Linked DNA regions of Rattus norvegicus. The protein of the gene in region 2 purifies or fractionates together with the protein of the main gene of each other region. This does not show direct contact. Links are inferred from orthologs where the notes say so. Each region holds a gene or a part of one and is shown on either strand. Other genes may lie near its edges. The genes, in order: Atl3, Rtn4 and Cyb5r3.

Region 1 (3,651 bases), on a different chromosome or scaffold from region 2:
CCTTTCAGCATGCCTCTGCCCCCTTTGAAAAAATTAGCAGAAAATATTGTGGTAATAACTGTAATTCATCTTGAATATGCACTTATACAGTGTTGTAATTCTGTTCTGCTCTGTCACAACAGACATTAATGTTTTTGGTTCGAGACTGGAGTTTTCCTTATGAATATAACTATGGACTGCAAGGAGGAATGTCGTTTTTGGATAAGCGTTTACAGGTAAGTAGGAAATCTGAATGGTTTTCTAAAGTTAGTAACTTTCCCATTTCCTTTTGAATATTGTCTTTAAAAAATATCATTGAAAACGATACTCTGGGGTGCCGGAGAGGTGGCTCAGCGGTTAAGAGCACTGACTGATCTTCCAAAGGTTCTGAGTTCAAATCCCAGCAACCCCATGGTGGCTCACAACCATCTGTAATGAGATCTGATGCCCTCTTCTAGTGTGTCTGAAGACAGTGACAGTGTGCTTATATATAATAAATAAATTTTTTTTTTGGTTCTTTTTTTTTTTTTTTTCCGGAGCTGGGGACCAAACCCAGGGCCTTGCGCTTCCTAGGTAAGCGCTCTACCACTGAGCTAAATCCCCAGCCCCAATAAATTTTTTTAAAAAAAGAAAATGATACTCTTAAATTTTATAAATATTAGTATAAACTAGGATAATTTTTTGTTTAAAATTTTAAAAATTACATGTATTTATTTGTGTGTGTGATAGAGAAAGAGAGAAGAGTGCTTCAGTACTCATGTGATGGTCAGGGAACAATTCTTTTCCATGTGGGTCTCAGGGATTGCACTCAGGTTGGCAGACTTGATGGGCAAGTACCTTTACCTGCTTAGCAGAAAGATGGCAGTCTTTCTGGCCCTAGTATAAGTTTTTTCATGGTAAAATTGAAGAACCCCCTGGTTCTTCTATATAATATATAGACACTGTGGAGAGAAACTCTGAGCAAAAGGCCTTTGTAATTGTAATTTCCAGTTATTTTGAATCAGGTTCTATATGTGCCTTTAGACTATATTTAGGATTGTAATTCTGTTCTTACTCAATATTATTATTTTTTCTTTTTTTTCGGAGCTGGGGACCAAACGCAGGGCCTTGCGCTTGTTAGGCAAGCGCTCTACCACTGAGCTAAATCCTCAACCCCTTACTCAATATTATTTGCCTTGGCATATATATATAAACAAGCCTAGCCTGTTCCTAAAACCAAAGCACAGGAGACCTTTGTCAGTCACTGCTAACTTATTGGATCCTTCTGGCCTACAAGCTTTCTGTTCTCCTTATGTGTTGTGCAATACCTTGTGTTGTGCAATACCTTTGAAAACCAAGTCTTTAGTCTCTACTCTCTGTTAGCTATGAGAGCCTCATGCACATGTACACTTACTACTTCTTGGGGCTGTGGCTCTTCCCATTGGTCACTGTGATCTATCACTCAGGAAGTCTTCTTTCCTTTGTCCTGATGCTAGTGAAGAATACCAAATTGTCTTTGGCTTGTAAATTTGATTTTCCTTGGCAGGTGAAGGAACATCAACATGAAGAAATTCAGAACGTTCGAAATCATATTCACTCATGTTTCTCGGATGTCACCTGTTTTCTCTTACCACATCCAGGGCTCCAGGTGGCCACAAGCCCTGACTTTGATGGGAAATTGAAAGGTGTGTTACAGACGTTGCTGTTGTACATGTGATTTGATCTTTGGAATTCCATAATGAGCAGTAAGAGTCAGTGATGATGAATCAAATGGATGCCATGAGAATAAATGTGGTCTCATAGAAAGAACAGTGTTAGTATAGTTCAGATTTCCCTCCTGCCTTACTCTGACCATCAGAAGTACTTTGCCAGTTCACTAACTGAAAATGAAGTACTGTTCTTCAGGGCTCTTCCTAAGAATGTAGTTTCTGCTTTATAAGAGATCAAAATGCTAAATGAAGGAAGACTGGAATCTAAGACATCCAATATTTTTCGAGTAAAAATATCTTCTCAGGAAAAGTACCATGATGCACAACCAAGCACTATTTATGCTCGACTCCTTTGTGTTTTTACCAAAACGAGATGCTGGGTCATAGGCTAATGTCAGGAAGTTCTGCGTCAATGGTAGGTTAGAGAATCAGAGTTGGGATGCTTGGGTACCATTATCTTATTTTTGTTCCTTATTCCTGGAGGCCCTGAGTCACCTGATGGCTGTCCCACAGTTTATACTTGTTTTTTTTTTATTAAAGATTTATTCATTTATTATATATAAGTACACTGTAGCTGTCTTCAGATACACTAGAAGAGGGCTTCGGATCTCTTTACAGATGGTTGTGAGCCACCATGTGGTTGCTGGGAATTGAACTCAGGACCTCTGGAAGAGTAATCGGGTGCTCTTAACCGCTGAGCCATCTCTCCAGCCCCAGTTTATACTTGTTAAACAGTTTGTTGATAGGCTGATCTGAATCTCTTAATTTTCCCTAAAACACCGATAATAGTTGTTGTCAGCATTGCAGTCCAGTTGGGTTCCCAGTGTTGTGCAAAATGCTTTAATACTAAGCTCACAGTAATTCCATGAAGTTACATCATTTTATTTATCTCTATATCAGGAAGCTGGCAAAAATGAGGAAAGTTAAGCAACTCACTCAAAGTACTTAGCTAAAAGCAGTGGGGCAGAGGTGCACAACTGGGTACTGGTGCCTTAAAGTCTGCACCGTGGAAATAGAAGTTCATTGTTGTTTGGAGGAAGTCTTTATAGAGTATGTTCATGTTGAGTTACCAGGACAACTTGCCCTTTAAGAATAGCCTCAGTAAATATGAAATATATAATTTTCATTCTTTTTGATTTAGTTGCTCTAAGAAGAATAAATAATATTTGTTTAAGTCAATATGTACAGACATGAGGCTACAGAGATAACTCAATAGTTAAGAGTGCTCTTGGGTTCTATTCCCAGCACCCACATTAAATGGTTCACAAATATTTGTACTGTAGTTTCAGGGAATATGATGCCCTCTTCTGGCCTTCCTGGGTACTGTCATGAACATAATGCACTTGTGTGCATGCTGCCACATACATACACATAAACTGAAATGGAAACTCAGCCGTTCTTTTTTTTTTTAAGATTTATTCATTTATTATATGTAAGTACACTGTAGCTGTCTTCAGACACACCAGAAGAGGGCATTGGATCTCTTTACAGATGGTTGTGAGCCACCATGTGGTTGCTGGGAATTGAACTTAGGACCTCTGGAAGAGTAGTCGGGTGCTCTTAACCGCTGAGCCATCTCTCCAGCCCTCAGCCGTTCTTTAGGTTTATTCTATGTGTGTGAGTGTCTTGCCTGCTTGTATGTAATATAGCACGCGTGTGTGTCCTGTGTATGCTGAGCTCAGAAAAGTGTGCTGGGTGCCCTGGAACTGGCGTTATTTATTGTCATGAGCCTCATGTAGATGCTGGGAACTCAACCTGGGTCCTCTGCAGTGACAGGTATGCCTGTCTGCGGAGCCATTTTCTCTTTTTTTTTTCCCCCCAAAGATTTATTTTTTTATTTAATGCGTATGGGGTTTGCCATCTTATATGTACCATATGTATGTGCAGAGGCCAGAAAGAGGGTGTCTGATCTTCTAGAATTAGAGTTATAGATAGTTTTGAGCCATCATGTAGGTGCTGGAAATCAAACTGGGATTTTTTGGAA
Region 2 (3,651 bases):
CCTTTGTTTCTCGTGTTGCTAACTCATATTCATGGCAGGAACCCAGAATCTTAGCACTGTCTTTAACTTCTCTCCATGTCCTCCAAACAGGAAATCTCCATGCTTGATTCATTATCTGAATATTCAGAATCTCCTCTTAGAATTTCTATACTCGTCTGATGCTAGCTGTCTCTAATATATAAGTAAATACAACATAATTTCGACTAGAAAACACAGCTCACAGAATGCCAAGTTTAAAAAAAAGCATGCAAAACAAACATAGTAAATGTTGAGTCAGAAGTACAAATGACGGCTGGAGAGATGGCTCGGCGATTAAGAGCACTGGCTGCTCTTCCAGAGGATCTGAGTTCAATTCCCAGCAACCACATGGTAGCTCACAACCATCTATAAAAAGATCTGATACCCTCTTCTGGCATGTAGGTATACTTGCAGACACTCCTATACTTAAAAAATACATAAACAGATAAATGAAAAGTATAAATAGATAATCTGAGATTTTCATAAATTGGTAACATGTTTCAATAATTACTTTTCAGGAAAAAAATCTATACTTAGTATGTCTAACCTCATACCTCTCTCTAGAAAAATAATATATTATATATAAATGCCAAAAGCAAGCTACAGAAATGGTCATCCTTCACAAATTTGGCTTGAAATCATATCTAAGATAAAAATAAACACATCGAAAATATTGCTTTAATATCCCTTGCTTGTCACAGTATCAGAAAACACTGAAGAAAAAAATGCATCATGGAAGATAATCTTACTAATTTTTTTCCTGGTTCCATGATGCAATAATTACGAAAAAGCCTACAACAAAGATAAATTATTGAATAGAAGTGGGGCAGGAAGAAACAGCAGAAAACTTTTGTATTCTTGTTTTTTGCAATAACTTCATAATAATTCTACTTTGGGCTCCTGACTGTAGGTGGGACTATATTGCACTACCATACCTGGCTATAATCATTTTCCATTTTTATTATTTTTTTGTGTATGAATGTTTCACCTGCATGCGCACGTGTGTACGTGTGTGTGTGTGTGTGTGTGTGTGTGTGTGTGTGTGTGTGTGTGTGTAATATTTCTGATGTCCATAAAGGTTAAAAAAAAAAAAAGGCATCAGATCACTTAGAACTGGAGATATAGCTGGTTGTGAGAAACCATGTGGGCGCTAAGGAAGCGAACTTAGTCTTGTAGAGGGTACAAGAACAGCAAGTGCTCTTAACTACTGAGCCATCTTTCCAGTCCAAAAGAACTAAAACTGAAGATTCTCATCACGTGATACATTAGACCCCAGAAATGTTATGTCATAAAATGTTATCTGCATTCCATAGCAAGCCGAGAAGTTGGTGAGACAGTGCATAGATTATTACCTGAAGTTTTACTCAGCTCTGCTGACAATACAGCTGACAGGGATCTGTCCTCTTTCTCTGTGTCAGAAGGAAGTTTTTTCTCTGCTTCTTTCGTAAGTGATTTGGATTTAACTATGCTGCCCATTTCTGTCTGAGGTTCCAAAGCAGAGACATTTGAAGGCGATATGGATGCCTTAGATACACTGGACCTATTTTCGGAGAATTCATCTGAAACATGTACTTCATCTTTAGGATATATATTCTTGAAAGAAAGGTCACAGGGCAATTCTAAGCAAGGCAATGAATCTGCCCCGCTTTGGATATTAGCAATTTCACTTTTGTCGGATACTTCTAGATCAGTGTACTCCTTGGCTAATTTAGGAGAATCATCTTTAGCACTGACAAACGTGGGAAATTCATCTATTATCTCAATCGGAGATGAATCTGAAAATGTTTCACTTTCTTTTATTTTGTCTTCCTTAGAAGAAAGTAAGTCATCATTTGAATAAATTGCAGTATTAAACTCTTCCATTTGCAAAGAAATTTTCTCCTTTTTGGTCAATGTTGGAATGTCATTAGATGCAGCATCTTTTGTACTATGTAAATTGGGCTGAAAAGACTCTAAATATGGCTTTCCTAGCTCCTGAGGTGAGGCACTAAGTCTCTCCTCTTTGTGCTGGGCTACTGTCTCAGACACTTCAGTGAGACTCTCCTTCATGAGCATCACAGCCTCCTCTTGTGTTTGTGGGACTTCAGGAATCGAATCATCACTAAATAAGTCAACTGGTTCAGATTCAGGTGAGGAATCCTCCACTAGCTCAGCGTGTTCGGGCACCGACTTCTCGAATTTTGCTATTTCTGAATAATTAGAGAAATCTGGACTTGGCTCAGTGGAGAGCTTTGTTTCTTTAATTAAATCACACGCAATGGATATATAAGGAGCTTCTGTTTCCTGAACAGCTGCATTAAAACTTTCAGGCTCTTTTATTCCTTCCTTTGTTCCCAAAGCTTTTAGTGCTACGTTCATGGCTTCTTCATATGGTGGGGGGTTTTCAGGCTCAAGCTTTATACTGTCATAACTAAGTGGAGGAGGTGCTTCCAGTGGGGATACACTGGGCTGCACTACAGAAGCACCAGCGCTTGGAAGGAGAGAATTTAATGGTGCTTCCATAACAATATCAGGCAAAACTGGTGACGGAGTTGCTTCAGCTTCCTCAAATGATGGGCAAAGCTGTGCTGTGGGGTAAAGTGATTCTTGTATAGCTTCTGATGTTTGGACCAAGTCCACTTTTGTTTCATAAGCAATCTTTGTACCTGTGGCTTCATTCAGTTCACTTTCACATGCTTCCTGAACTAAATCTGGCGTCAGACCTTCAGGCATGTTTGACACTGCTGCCTCAGTCACCTTTGATAAGGTATCTGTTGTAACATAATCTGCCTCAGAATCCTGTACTGCTACAAGGAAAGGATTTGACGTTTTGGGGCTAGTCTTCTCTGTTATAATTTGGGCCTTCCTTTCTTCTATTTTTTTTTCATCTGTTTTATTTTCTGAAGTATGATCTTCTAACAAAGGGAAAGTGTTTGCTGTGGTGCTTTCGGTTGCTGAGGTAAAGGAAGCACAGGTAATATATGCTCTGGAGCTGTCCTTCACAGGTTCTGGGGTACTGGGGAAAGAAGCATCCTCATTTCTGCCTTCACTATCCTTCCCAAGACTTTTTTGCTCCAGGCTATCTTCCAAGCATTTTCTGTCCACTTTACTTTCCACATTAGCTCTAGCAGCCAGCACATCCCTACTTCCCTCATAAGTATCTTTCACTTCCCATGCTTGTTCAAATGGCTTAAAGTCTGCATACTCTTCCCTCACAGGTGCTACTACTGACATCTGCATTTCATTAAAAATGTCCATTGTCTTTTCTGGAGACACAACTCTGTCTTCTTTACCCACAGGTGATTCTTGTGGACTGTGAAGGGCTGCACTACAAACTAAATCCTCTTTGTCTTTACTCCTCACAATTACTTCTTCCTTAGTGTTTTCTACTAATATGGCTGACTCTCCTTTTGGGGAGCCTTTAAAAGATGATCCCATTTCTGAATATTCTAATTCTGAAAATTCTGCTAAATCTCTATTTACAAATGGATTTGTTGCCCTCTCTGGCAACTCTTTAGAAGCTTCATTTAAAGTTTCTTCAATTGTTCCTTCTGAGGATGACACTGCTGATAAGTTACCAAGGTATCCATGTTCTTTAAAAGAAACAGTTGAGAGAGGAGATAGAGAAGGAAGAGAGGCAGCAGTTTCAAGCAG
Region 3 (3,651 bases), on a different chromosome or scaffold from region 2:
GCCTCTGTTTTCTTACCTGAACTGGGAATGACGACAGCACCTCCCAGATGCAGCCTGAGGGTTGAGGTAAGAGGGCAGTGCTTTTTGGGAGCTGCCAGGAGCCAGTTCTGCTCATTAAACCTGTACCTTCTGAGCATGCTCCAGTGCCAGGGACAGATGGCTCCCTCCACAGCCTGTGCTAGGCCAAAGGTTTGTAAGGCAACTCGGACAGGCTGAGCCCTTCCCTCGTCAGGGAGCCATCTTGGCTTTTGCCCCGTTTTTGGAAACTTGCACACAATGTAAGAAGTCAGAGAGTCAGGAGGGATCAGGAGAGAGGGGTGTTGTTGTCCTTGTGGTAAGTCCGCAAATATTTACAGAGTACCTCCCTCACCAAGTGCTGGCATAGTGGTGACTAGGCAACCCTAAGTTACCCAGAGACAGGAGAGGGGGGCCATTTTGGGCCCAGGGCTGTTTTGGGGACCCTACCTATGTTTAGGGACCCACTCAGAGGCCTGGCACTGGTGGGTTTAGGGTGAATGAGGGTTGTAGGCTGGTCCACAGATGGTCAGCTACATGTTGGGCCTTTCCAAACCTCCTTTGTTAAGTGGGGGTGTAGAGACAGTTGCACTGACTTTTGTATTAGTTATGACCAAAGGTAACTTAGGGAAGAGCTTGTTTTAGCGTATACTTCCAGAGGACTAGAGTCTGTCAGAGCAGGGAAGGCTTGGCAGGGGGAGCAGGGAGCTGAGGGATCATATCTTAGCCACATATAGGAAAACAGAGATAGTTTGCCTGTCCCCAGTGAAGTTCTTCCTCCAGCAAGGTTGTACTCCGAAAGGTTCCATGACCTCACTAAACGGCACCGTGTACTGGGGACCAGGTGTTCAAATCCACAAGCTATAGGGGATGCTCCTCGTTCAAACCACAACAGGCACCCACCATGGAGGGTCAGAAACGAATCCAGGTGTGACAGGCCCTGGGAAACCAGCTTGCAGGCTCAGGGGACTCCAGCTAGTGAGCCCGACAGGGTACTCCAACAGTCCTGCTGGGGAAGATAAACCAGAGTACACTGAGCATGGGCCCAGTTGGTTGGAGTCATTGATGCTCATTCCTAAGACTTCCAATGGTGGTGGTTTCTGGATGAGGTCTTGCTCCCTGCAATGGAATTTTCTGTAGCAGAAAATCGCTAGAATGCCCTTCATGCCCAGAAAGCTTACAGAGACGCCAAGGCTGTGAAAAGGCACCAAGAGCCTAGTTAGCTAGGCATGGCTCCTCAGGTTCTGAAGGATTCACAGATGTCTACTGGTTGGATGCATCTAGAAGTAGGGCGTGGGGAGAGAAAAAAAAATGTGCAAAGGTCAAAGCTAGGGAAGTTGTGGAGGGAGCCGGCAGTGGAGTCTGTTTTGAAGCCATAAATCCCATGCGTTGAAGGCTGGTGGGTGGGATCCTTGTGCACCTTGGAGGTGAAGTAGCTTGATGGTTTGGAAGGCTGGGCTTGGAAATATGCTCCCCACTTCCAAGGGGGAATAGTATCTGACTGCAGACTCTAATGGGGACACAGTAGGACCTGTCCCCAGAGGTGGCTCAGAAACAGCAAGATGGGACAGAGAAGTCCTGAATTCAAATCACTGTTGCATTCATGTTTGGTTTTGTCACCTTGACCAGCCATTTATCCTGAGAGAGCACATGAGAATCTGGTGCTTTGAATGTGGTCCCGGGACTTTGGTGTGAGTTGGGGCAGGATGATTCCCTCTATCTTGTTTCCCCTCTATGGCTTGGAGTAGCTGCTACACTTGTAGTCAAGAGCTGAAATGGGGTGGCCCCAGGAACACAAGGCCTTGTCCTTAGAGCAGCACCAGCTCAGGGAATATGACTGGTGTTTTCTCTGTGCATGGCCTTTGGAAGCCCCCTCTGTCTCCAGAGCCCTAGGGAACCCTTTCTGAGTTCTGGGCTGGGCCTCAAACCTTGGTTTTTTTGAGCTTACACTTCATGGTGTCAACTTGGTCTTTCAGTGAGTCTTGCGACAGAGCTAATATGGTGCTGGGTACAGTGGTGTGCATCAAATGGACGTGGTCCTCATATAAGCATACCAGGGGCCTATGGGGTAAGGCCTTGGCTGGGAAAGAGGCAGTTTATTCTGGGCCCAACAAAGGGCCCTTAGCTGCTGGGGCTGCTTGAACCTGCAAGGCCGGTTTGGGGGTGAGGAGTGTATCTGGCTGATTGATGGTCCCTCCACTTCTCAGGTTGCACACCCCTCTGGGGATTGGGGTGGGGGAGGGCTCCCAGATTAACTGACTGCTCCCTGGGAAGAGTACCTCATGATGAGCCTCACCTTCTGTTTGCAGATGGGACAAGAGGCTCAGACAGAGCTACAGGGCAGGGCTTTGAGGGATGGGGACCCTGGGGCTGGGCCAACCAACCAATGGGCTTCAGTGAATGAGAGCACTTCCTCACTCCGCTCCTGACAGAAATGACCAGAAGGAAAGATCTCTGCTTGTGCTGTCTGTCTGTCGTCTGTCAGGTAGAGGAAGTAGGGACCTGTTGCTGAGGCTGTTCACATCCCTGCTAACCAGGGAGCAGAGAAAGGGCGGGAGCCAAATCCAGTGACTCACTTCTTCAGCCAAGCCCAACTTCCCAAAACAGTTGCCCAGGGCTACTCAGCCAGTGAGGAACAGTGCCCAGCCAGTGCTGAAGGCAGCCCAGCGTCCAGGGACAGACTCAGGGTCTTTGTTTATGGGAAGTGACTCAACTTATCCACCCTCACTGGCTTGTTTCCTTGGATCTGGGTAGAAGCAAGGAGGAAAAAGTATAGAAGTCCTAGGAAACTGTCGCAGAGATGTGTGGGCCCCTAGGAAACTGGCGCATAGACGCTCCAGGCCTGTGCTCATCAGTGGCCCCTAGGAAACTGGCGCATAGACGCTTGGAGCCCCGTGGCCAGTGAAGGGCTCTTAGGTGGATTCGGAGCCAGGCTGAGAACTGGAACTTGGGCCTGGGATTTGACTCCGTCCACAGAGTGCTTGCACACCATGCATGGCACAGGTCTGTAATATCTACACTTGGGGGCAGGAGTCAGAAGTTCAAGGTTTTTTGAAGCTTCCTCATGGTGCTGGGCACAGAGGACTGAGTGGTGCAGCAAATGTCGTTGAGTCTGGTTTTGGTCATTTCTCCTGGTGAGCTGCCGAATGGAGTTCACTTGACAAGGCTGGAGAGGAAAGGTCACAGGAGGAAAGGCCCAAGGATGCTGGTGAAGTGTCACCTGTAAGGTGGGCGCAGGACCCTGTGCTGACCTGGGCTCCGCTCTGTCCTTGCAGTTGAGCCGAGTGGTACTCTCCCCGGTCTGGTTCGTCTACAGCCTCTTCATGAAGCTGTTTCAGCGCTCCTCACCGGCCATCACCCTCGAGAACCCCGACATCAAGTACCCTCTGCGGCTCATCGACAAGGAGGTGAGTGCCCTGCTCCACCCCCCCAACCCCCGCCCAGCATCCCTGTGGCTCCCAGGTACCTACACTGCCCCTCCATCCCCCTCCCCCATATTGCAACCTGCCCACCAAGGCCATGGAGAAGTGACAGAGGGGTTCAGTCCCTGCTCTCTGTGGTGTGAACTCTCCCTGGGGAGATAGAAACAAACTCCCACTCCCTCAGAGAGGCAGGATGACAGACCAAAGTACCATT

What was found.
Region 1: the proteins of Rtn4 (region 2) and Atl3 purify together in Homo sapiens (affinity purification with mass spectrometry; 4 studies listed by BioGRID and IntAct, counting the BioPlex papers as one, with this or other methods). This does not show direct contact. The link is inferred for Rattus norvegicus from reciprocal best matches to the Homo sapiens genes RTN4 and ATL3.
Region 3: the proteins of Rtn4 (region 2) and Cyb5r3 purify together in Homo sapiens (affinity purification with mass spectrometry; 3 studies listed by BioGRID and IntAct, counting the BioPlex papers as one, with this or other methods). This does not show direct contact. The link is inferred for Rattus norvegicus from reciprocal best matches to the Homo sapiens genes RTN4 and CYB5R3.

Annotation. Positions count from the first base shown.
Region 1 is NC_086019.1:214,137,603-214,141,253, forward strand, and holds part of Atl3 (atlastin-3), read left to right. Parts: intron 1-122; coding exon 123-215; intron 216-1,504; coding exon 1,505-1,643; intron 1,644-3,651. UniProt on the Homo sapiens protein: Atlastin-3 (ATL3) is a membrane-anchored GTPase that mediates the GTP-dependent fusion of endoplasmic reticulum (ER) membranes, maintaining the continuous ER network. It facilitates the formation of three-way junctions where ER tubules intersect.
Region 2 is NC_086032.1:107,664,551-107,668,201, reverse strand, and holds part of Rtn4 (reticulon-4), read right to left. Parts: coding exon 1,371-3,651; intron 1-1,370. UniProt on the Homo sapiens protein: Required to induce the formation and stabilization of endoplasmic reticulum (ER) tubules. They regulate membrane morphogenesis in the ER by promoting tubular ER production.
Region 3 is NC_086025.1:116,197,698-116,201,348, reverse strand, and holds part of Cyb5r3 (NADH-cytochrome b5 reductase 3), read left to right. Parts: intron 1-3,290; coding exon 3,291-3,422; intron 3,423-3,651. UniProt on the Homo sapiens protein: Catalyzes the reduction of two molecules of cytochrome b5 using NADH as the electron donor.